Cricetulus griseus: one gene and its partner. The protein of the gene in region 1 purifies or fractionates together with the protein of each later gene. This does not show direct contact. Links are inferred from orthologs where the notes say so. Each region holds a gene or a part of one and is shown on either strand. Other genes may lie near its edges.

What was found. The genes of interacting proteins can lie anywhere in the genome.
Region 2: the proteins of Kcna5 (region 1) and Kcnab2 purify together in Homo sapiens (co-immunoprecipitation; 3 studies listed by BioGRID and IntAct, counting the BioPlex papers as one, with this or other methods). This does not show direct contact. The link is inferred for Cricetulus griseus from reciprocal best matches to the Homo sapiens genes KCNA5 and KCNAB2.

What each region holds. Positions count from the first base shown.
Region 1 is NC_048601.1:19,957,969-19,962,712, reverse strand, and holds Kcna5 (potassium voltage-gated channel subfamily A member 5), read right to left. Parts: upstream 2,934-4,744; coding exon 1,125-2,933; downstream 1-1,124. UniProt on the Homo sapiens protein: Voltage-gated potassium channel that mediates transmembrane potassium transport in excitable membranes. Forms tetrameric potassium-selective channels through which potassium ions pass in accordance with their electrochemical gradient.
Region 2 is NC_048595.1:3,958,784-3,963,550, reverse strand, and holds part of Kcnab2 (voltage-gated potassium channel subunit beta-2), read right to left. Parts: intron 3,846-4,767; coding exon 3,802-3,845; intron 2,898-3,801; coding exon 2,811-2,897; intron 2,113-2,810; coding exon of another isoform or gene 2,068-2,112; intron 1-2,067.

The DNA of each region.
Region 1 (4,744 bases):
ACTTAGGACTTACAGTAAAGGAGACAATCTTGAGAAACTCAAAGCTGGTACCACAAGAGGACAGTTGCAGGGTAGAGCTCACTGCCCCCTTCCTTTAATCCCACTTCTACAGTCTGTGCTGACTGTAATTCATCCATGTCACACACAGCCTCAAGACAGGCCAGGGGGTCTATCATCCTTCTAAGCTCAGAGGGACCCATCAAAATGATGATGCCAAGCCTCCTAGGTTTTCTAGCCCCGTCAAATCATTTTCACTGACTCTAAAACCAGACAGCAAGTGGCAGACTTCACTCCCTAGCATGTCAAAACACACATTGGCAGTAGAGAAACTGACACTTGCCCCAGTGGAGTCACATTTTATTTCCTGGTATCAAAATGAAAAGAATGAATTCTCAAATGCCTTCTTCCAACATCATTAAAATGCTTCTGTGAAGAAAGTCACAGGAAATGTTTAAGGAGAACCAAAAAAAAAAAAAAAAAGATGTACTAGTCTTCTAGAATATTCTCTGCCCTAGACACAAAGCACCCGCAGCACAGGAACCTGGACATCTTTTTCAGGGTCTCTGGCCCCAAGTGTCCTAGGAAAAGATGACCCCCAACTCTTTCGTAATTCAAAATATATCTTAAGAACACACCCAAATATTCTTCATGTGCACCACCGTACAAAAATGCCCTCATCAGCCATAAAAATAATATTTGCCTCATACACAAATATAATCACATGTAAAGTAAATTTGGAACACGGGGATAGGGAGGGCTATGGAATCTCTTGGGATTGGGGCTATTTAAAGTCATTTTTGTTTGAGTTATCCCTCTGCTGGGTATAGAAAACTGGCTACAAATACATCCATCTCACAGTACCCACCATTTCAACAGCTCCTGCGTCATGGAATGTGATACTTCTTAAAAATAGGTGACCCTTGGTGTTCTGTAAAGAGGAGGGAAAAATGGGGGTGTTAGAGGGCAGGGTGGCAGGAAGGGTGAAAAAGGAGAAAGCCAGGCAAGCATCCAGACATCAGTGACCAGGTGGGCTTAAATACTCTGTGGTATAAAACAGATGCCCGGGCTCAAGAGGACCACCCTTCTTCCCAGTGGCGCTGTCACCAGTTCGCCTGGGCCTCTTTTTACAAGTCTGTTTCCCGGCTAGTGTCCAGGCAGAGGGCATATAGGGACCTCCGCAAGTCCACGTTGCTCTTGGCTTTGAGGTGACACTTTTCTATGGGGCAGCTACCTCTCCTGATACTGTCAGAATTCTCCAGGGAACCTCCAGTCTTGCAGAAGGAGGCCTTGCTGCAGCTAACCTTCCGCTGACCCCCTGCGTCCAGCCCAGACTCCCGCCTCTGGTTGCCTTGCTCCTCCTTCAGGGCAGCCTGCTCCTCATGGTCTGTCTCCCGATGATAGAAGTAATTAAAATTGGAGACGATGACAGGCACAGGCAGGGCGATAGTGAGGACCCCAGCGATGGCGCAGAGTGAGCCCACAATCTTGCCTCCCACAGTGATGGGCCTCATGTCCCCGTAGCCTACGGTGGTCATGGTGACTACTGCCCACCAGAAGGCATCTGGGATACTGGAGAAGTGGGACCCCTGGTTGTCCGCCTCTGCGAAGTAGACAGCGCTGGAGAAGAGGATGACTCCAATGAAGAGGAAAAAGATGAGCAGCCCGAGCTCCCGCATGGACGCCTGCAAGGTCTTACCCAGGATCTGCAGCCCCTTGGAATGGCGGGAGAGCTTGAAGATGCGGAACACCCGGACCAGGCGGATCACCCTGAGGATGGCTAGGGACATGGCCTGCTGACCGTTCTGACTACCGCCCCCTGGCTGTTGCTCTGCCAGCTCGGTGCCCAGGGTGATAAAGTAGGGGAAGATTGCCACAATATCGATGATGTTCATGATATTCCGAGAGAACTCTGCCTTGCTAGGGCAGGCAAAGAAGCGCACAAGCAACTCAAAAGTGAACCAGATCACGCATGTAGTCTCCACTATGAAGAATGGGTCAGCCAGAGTCCTAGGCAGGAGTGGCGCCACTGTGGGGCCAGAGGAAGGGACGCTGGCTTCACTGCCATTGGCCCCTGGGGCTGGGACTGGGGGCTGGGGCGGCACTGGGGGGTGGCGGAGCAGCTCCCTTTCATCCCTGAACTCAGGCAGAGTTTCCAAGCAGAAGGTGATGATAGAGATAAGGATGACCAAGACTGACACGATGGCGATGGCTCTTGCGGACCCTGAGCTTTCTGGGTATTCGAAGATTAGCCACACCTGGCGCTGGAACTCATTGCGGGGAAGGGGCTTCTCCTCTTCCTTGATGAAGCCCTCATCCTCCCGGAAGCGCTCCATGGCCTCGTCCCCCAGCTGGTAGAAACGGATCTCATCTGCAAACACATCCAGGGAGACATTGACCGGTCTGCGGAGGCGACCCCCAGACTGGTAGTAGTAGAGGATGCCATCGAAGCTGGGCCGGTTGCGATCGAAGAAGTACTCATTTCTCAGGGGGTCGAAGTAGCGCAGGCGCTTGGCTGGGTCCCCCAGGAGGGTGTTGGGAAACTGCGCCAGGGTACCCAACTGTGTCTCAAAGCGCAGCCCGGCGATATTTATAAGGACGCGCTGGTGATGCAGCGACCCTGCGCCCTGTGGAGTTTGGTCCTCCTCCACTGTGCTCAGGCCAGGGTCGCCTTCTTCCTCTTCATCCTCAGGAGATGGCACTCTTGGCTGCGGTAGCTCTCGAGGTAGAGGGGTCAAAGACAGCCCCTCCTGGTCCTCATCATCTTGCGTGGCGCGCCCCCTCGGTGAGGACTCTTTGGACTGATTACTGAACCCAACCGTCGGAGGGCACCCACACTCTCCCCTGGGGGTCTGCACACAGCTTGCCGCTGCCTCCCCTCCTCCTCTGGGGGTCATGGCACTGCCGTTCTCCAGAGGCACCAGGGAGATCTCCATGGCCCAGGGGCAGAGGGCATGCTGCGCCCCAGACAACCGATTCCCACACCCCCAACTCACAAGCTCCGCGCCTTGCTTCGGGCTTCTCTCCAGCGGAGGGCCCAGCTGGCTCTGGACTGGCTGGGGTAGCTGATTCCGTTGGCTGGTCCTGACGTCAAGAAGCCTCTGCCCCTACTCCCAGCCTCGCTCTCTCAGTGTTCTGGCAGCTGGTTACCAGGCAGCAGACAAGCCTCCTTCAGCAGATGCAACCTCGGCAGCCCCTCTCTGGCTGAGCTCCCCGGCCTCCGCCCTTTGTGGCTCCCTCCTCTCCTCCTCCCCCTCCCTTTTCTCCTCTGGGGCCAGAGTCAGAGAGTGTCTCTCTGGAGGGTTAAGCTGGGGCACCGCCACAAAAATGGACGGGAAGGGGAGGAGGGAAGGAGCAGGAGGAGCAAGGAACAGGTTGTTCCAGGAGTGCTGAAACACCCAGGGCAACAGGATGAGAATAGCTTCAGGATCTCAGATCACCTGGGAACACATTGAAAGCCAAGGGGACACCAGAGGATGGGAACTGCTTTAGATGGAAGGGAAAGGCTTTTTAGCTGAGTGCAGATAAGAGACTGGAGAAGAGAGTCCTTTGAATGTTGTTTTTTAGAGCAATGGCTTCAAACCTTCCTAATGCTTGCTGTGAGCCTTTAATATAGTTCCTCATGTTGCGGTGACCACCCCCCCCCCCCCCACACACACACACCATAAAACCACTTCATTGCTTCTTCATAATTGTAATTTTGCCAATGTTGTGAACTGTTAAGTAAAATTTTTTTTGAAATAGAGGGTTGTCGAGGGGTTGCGACCCATAGGTTGAGAACCACTACTCTGGAGCATTAATAGTCTCCTTTCTTTGGAAAGAGTTAGACTGGAAAGGAGTGGCAAACTGTGTGTGTGTGTGAGAGAGAGAGAGAGAGAGAGAGAGAGAGAGAGAGAGAGAGAGAGAGAGAAGAGGGAGGGAGGGAGGGAGGAGGGAGGGAGGGAGGGAGGGAGGGACAGGGTTCTTTTGATCTTTCTGCAAACCCATTGAAAGGTAGGAGGCTGAGACCTCCTCGCACCCCTTGAACCTGGATTCCAACCCAGACATTGGTGATCTGAGCTGCCAGTACAGACTCAGGGGCAGTCCCATCAAGAGAGAAGCTGTCTGGTCTCCTGACCCTGCATCCTACACTATCCCTCCAACCTCTCCACCAAATCCTCAATTGCAAAAACCACAATGAGAAAAGAGGGTTATAAATCCTGGTGGGGAAAGATTGTGCAGGGGAGCCGCTGAGCTAGTAGCTGCATAGAGACCAGCGTAAGGAGAGGGAGAATGCCCAGGTCATTCTTACGTGTTGCTACATCGATTTACTTTGTAAGTCAGTGCTATTACTACCTTCAACACACAAAGAAACGGAGGCACAGAAAGACTGGCAAAATCACACAGGTCCACAGAAATACGAAGCGTCAAAACTTGGAATTCATATCCAAGTTGCCAGAGTCACCCCTCCCATATCTGGCCTGAGAGCATTAGCTCCCATTACAGGAGGCAGGAGGATGACTGAGATAACATATAGTCCTCGGCACCTATAGACACACCAGGTTCCATTCCCCTCACCCCGCTCTACCCTTGCCCTTAGTCCATGAGGCTACTGTGGGCATCAAAAGCCAAGAGGAAGATTTTTCAAGGCATGCCTGGCAATTCCAGACACAGCCTCCTCCAGATGTTTCTTGGTTTTATGTCGCTGAGACGTTACTGTAGTTTTGAGTGTCTGCTTATATTGTCTACTTCTTTTCCTGAGTATTGT
Region 2 (4,767 bases), on another chromosome or scaffold:
CTTGCCTCTTAGAGATGTGTTGGCTCTTAAAACAGAGCTTGGTCTTGGAGGGGTGAGGGATAGCTCCGTGGATTTCTCACAGGTCTGATACAGTGCTTGCAAGGTCGACAGCCAGAGGCAGGGGAGGAATATAGAGGAGCAAGTGCTTCTAAAAACAGAGGTGGTGACATCGCCTCGCCTCTGAATGCCCCGCCCACCCCACAGCAGAGCTCCCTGGCAGCGGCAGGACTGTGGGAGAAGGAAGGCGAGAGAGTACCAGACCTGACAGCCTGCCTCAAAATGCCAGTGGGTCAACAGTACCCTCCTGGCATGGGACACAGCGCTGGCTCCTGTCTGCCCTGTTTATTTTGGTGGGGGCGGGGAGGGGGAATCTTCTTGCTCATTCTGGGTCCCTAAGTATTGCTTTGGCTAAGGTCTATTTATGGTGGAATCCAGGGCAACCTCATCTCTGGCACTGAGGCCACTGGGGCTTCTGGTGTAATGGTCCCAGTAGGTTTATCCAGAACACTGAGTAAGCCATATCTTACTTCTGCCCCTGCTGCCCGCCTATTCTGAGGTCGGGGATGGGGGTATTTGGAGTTTTCTTTGCCCCACCTAGGTGAGGGAACACATGAGAAGGGAGTTTTGGACTTCTGGGACCTTCCCTGGGTCACTGGCTTTTACTGACAACATGGTTTACATCGGTAAGACGTCAGAACCGGATTGGGAAGTTTCAGGAGACTTATAGGGTCCCAGGGCCCACTCGACAGAGCCCAGGCTCCTGGACAAGCTGCCCTTATTAAGACTTTTAGAAACACTTTTGGAGGCACCTGAGACCATGCAGCACAGTTTCCCTATTCAGCCAAGGCTTAGGTTCACATGCCAGAGATAGGGGAGCCGTGAGCATGGCCCACACCAGTCTCTCTCCACAGCCTCCCCCAGAGCTGCCTGCTAACAGTCATGAAGATCACAGCCAGGGAAACTGCACGATGCCCTTCCCATGCAATGAGGAAGATGGAGACAGTCTAACACCTGGCAATCAGGCTGGTGGGCCAGGAGCCTGGTATGATTGGCTATTCTGAGGGGGAGGGGGACATGGGCACCTCGGGGATCTGAGCAGAGGCAGGCTAGATGTGGAGCATGTGTTCAGGAGCACTGTGCACCTGTACAGAGCACGTCCGTGGACCCAGAAAGTGACACGCAGGAATGACTGTCTTCCACCTCAATAATTAATGCTGCCTGACAGAAACAGGGATGCTAAATCCTTCCAGCTGCAGCCCAATCGCAAATGATACATGGGAGGGGTCAGGTGGCAGCACCAGGTGGCAGCCAGGAGCCCTCCGAGTGTGGAATGCTGCCCAGTTCCCAGGCCCATCCTTGAGGCGGGGTTCTGAGGCCGTTTACTGACGGTACAGTGGGGGCAGATACCAAGCATGGCACAAGGATGCCCCTGGCCTCAGCATTGTGCCAGCTCATGTATATATTCTTCAAGAGAGAGAATCACTCCGTTTTGATCCTGGCTGCCAGATGAGCAGACGTGAGTGACCACCTGCAGCCAGAGTGCTTACAAGGAACCATTGCGGTGGATGGGGCAGCTTGTTGGCTGGTGTTCTTTGCCTCTGTTGGAGGCTAGAACTTACCAAGCATGAACTATGAAAGAGGTAAGTCTCAGGGGTTGCACAGTCTGGGGTCCCAGGACCTCTGTGGAAACCTAGTCTTTTCCAACCCTTCCCATTACACCATCCAAGGTCAAGTTCCCAGGCAGGGACTGGACCATCCTCAGATCAAGGGAGACCCCGGCAGAAAGCCAGCCGGCCATTGCGGTTCATCACAAGCATGGAGTAGGGGCGGGGGCCATGCACACTGGGAAGGAAGGATGGAATGGCAGCGTGGATGGGCAGCGAGGGGGCTCCAACACCATTTTGCTTTCCCTTTGCTTGCAAGATGTCCTCACGGGGCACTTCCCCACCCCTTATGCATTTTATGGAGAAGTTTGTCATGGGGGACAGAGTCTTGTAAATAAAAATACTGTCTCATAAAATGCAGCTCGGACACAGAAGTCAATAGTCGGCTGAGGGTACTGTGTACCTTCAATGATGAATGTCCTTGACTTGAAGGAACTAAATGGGTCCCCTGGTGATAAAAGAAAGATTTAAAGAGACCAGAGTTTATCGCTGTGGGAACACAGAGGCGTGGTATGATAAAGGGCAGGACAGAAGAGCACAAATCATCCCACAGAACAGAGTTCTGCTGAAAAGAAAGAATATATATATATATACACACACACAGCAGTGTGGTATATATATAAAAGCAAATGGAGACAAAATAACCAGTTCAACTTCACCTCCCAAGTCCCATAAGCAGCAAAGCATAAATGAGAAAGACGCTGAGGCAGGAAGTGGGGGAGATGGAGGGACCGGGTGGAGGGAATAAATAAACGCTAAGGAAACCCAAACGGCTCTTCACAGCACTGAGTGCTTCCTCTCCTTCAGGTAATAACTTACCCCCAGAGCAAAAAAACCTCAAAGCCCTCCCAGGGGAACCAGAATGAAAAGAATAAACTGTCCCCGACAGCCACCACACATGGGGCAAAACACCAACTGCTGAGAAGGAGCTGCTGCTCCGGAACACAGCCAGGTTACAGAATGAGATGAGGGCCCGGGCTCAGCCTGGCAGGGCCAGGGCCCACCCCTCCCCCACTCAGAGGCCTAGCCACCTCTGTCCTGGTTGTCTGGTTATTCGTGACAGTTACCAGAGCCTCAGAGACGACCACTGCTCGCCTGGCTTTGTCCTGCCTGCATGAACTAGCTAGAGGGAACCGGCTGACCTACCTTCCATGGGCGTGTTGGGGTCTGGGCGGTTGGCGAAGACCACATCCACGTAGTCCAGCTGCAGCCGCTCCAGGGAAGCCTTCAGTCCTGGGAGAAGAAGGGGAGGGGTCAGCACTGAGTGTGCCTCTAGATCCCCCGATCCCTGGCTCAGGGGACAAGAGTCAGAAGAGAGTAGGCCCCTGTCCCGGGGAGCTTCAGGGTAGGTGAGGTTCTTGAGGAAATGCCAAGACACAAGGCACATTCTAAAGGGAGGCAGACACCCTGGCCATTCCAGGGGACGTCAGAACCACAGACCAAATGTCCTAAGCCTATAAATCATGCACGCTCCCTGGGCTACTGCCGGGACCTGGTGGTCTGTACTGAAATAACCAGAGCTGGGCATGGTATCACACAGAGGGACAGTACAAAAGGCTGGTGGTATGTGACACACCAGTCACCAACCCACACCTCCCAACAGCTCAGAGAGCCAACGGTCAGGATGAAGACACTGGGCCTGAGGAGGTACCAAACCTCCTCTCCCCGCCCCTGCCCAGTGACGATGTTTCTCATGAAAAATATCACTTAGATCAGAATAAATGTGGCTTAGGAAGAGCTCGCATCCAGCCCCACCCCCCTCTGGGCTGCATGTCCATTATTCCCAACAGCCCCGTGTGGGTGTGTGCTCACACAGTCCTGTTTTCCAGACCTTTTGGCACAAGCTCAGGGAGGTGATGGCTCTCGCCCAAGACCATTCAGACAGCACGCAGCTCAGCCTGGCCTGAAACCTGACCATGTCTGTCCAGGCTTGGCACAGCCTTTGTCCAGTAGCTGGTCTCCTGCGTCTTTTTGGAGCAGGAGGACATGGTCAAAGAAGGGGTCCGTGTGCTCCAGGGTCAAGGCGTGGGCTGACTCACTGAAGGGAAGGTAGGGCCACTACACGTTTTAGCTCTCCTCAGGAGATCACAGGCTGCGCGCACCATGGGGCAGCGCCATGGTTAGCGACCCTCCTCACCTTCAATAATGTGCTTCCGGGAAAGGCCTCTCTCCGTCTCTGCTCTGAAAGACAGATATTGCAGTCGGTTGGGGGGGGGTGATGCTTATGATCACAATGCTAAGAGAAAACGCAGATCAGAATGCGTGACATCTGTGGGTAACAGTTACAGGCTGAGTATCCACGGCTCCCTCCGGTGGATGCCTACACGCTGACCCCAGGGTGGTAGTGGGCACAAGAGCTCTAGGTTTCGATATCACCTTGCTGTTAGGCTTTGATTTATTTATTTATGATGCTTTTGAGACAGGTTTTCCCTGCATATCTCAGGGTGGCCCCAAACTCAAGATCCTCCTGCCTCAGCTTTTCAAGTATTGGGGTTACAGATAGAAGCTCAGCAAAGGATTTTTTTTAATTACCAACAAGTTTTTTTTTTTTTTTTTTTTTTTTTTTTTTTTAATTTGTTTTGAGACAGGGTTTCATGTATCCCAGGCTGGCTTCAAATTTGTTACACAGCCACGGATGACCTTCAACTTCTGAGTCCTCGGCCTCTGAAGTGCTGTAATTACAGACATGAACCACCATAGTTTACAGGGTGTAAGGAGGAATACAGGAGTTCATGCATGCCTGACAAGCACTCTACTGACTGAGCCTCGTTCTCAGCCTATAAATCATATTTATAACCCCCATGAGATGAACTTTGTCCAGCCCTGTAGAGAATATAGAGCCAGACACCTGGAAACTGGCAGTGTGATAGGTGGCCCAGGGACTTTAAGCTGGCTTTGATAGTTCGTAATTCTGTTTCCTAGAATTTTTATAATGTCACCATGTAAGCAAAAATAATAAAAATTAAAACAAGTTTTGAGTAAAAGACAAACTCAGCCAAAGCTGCTTGCAGTTTGGGGATATACCAGTTGGGCGTGAGGTCCCCAGCCTTCAGGTAGCTGAGAAAGGCCAACACCCCCTCCTTCCTCAAGGACAACAGTGTGA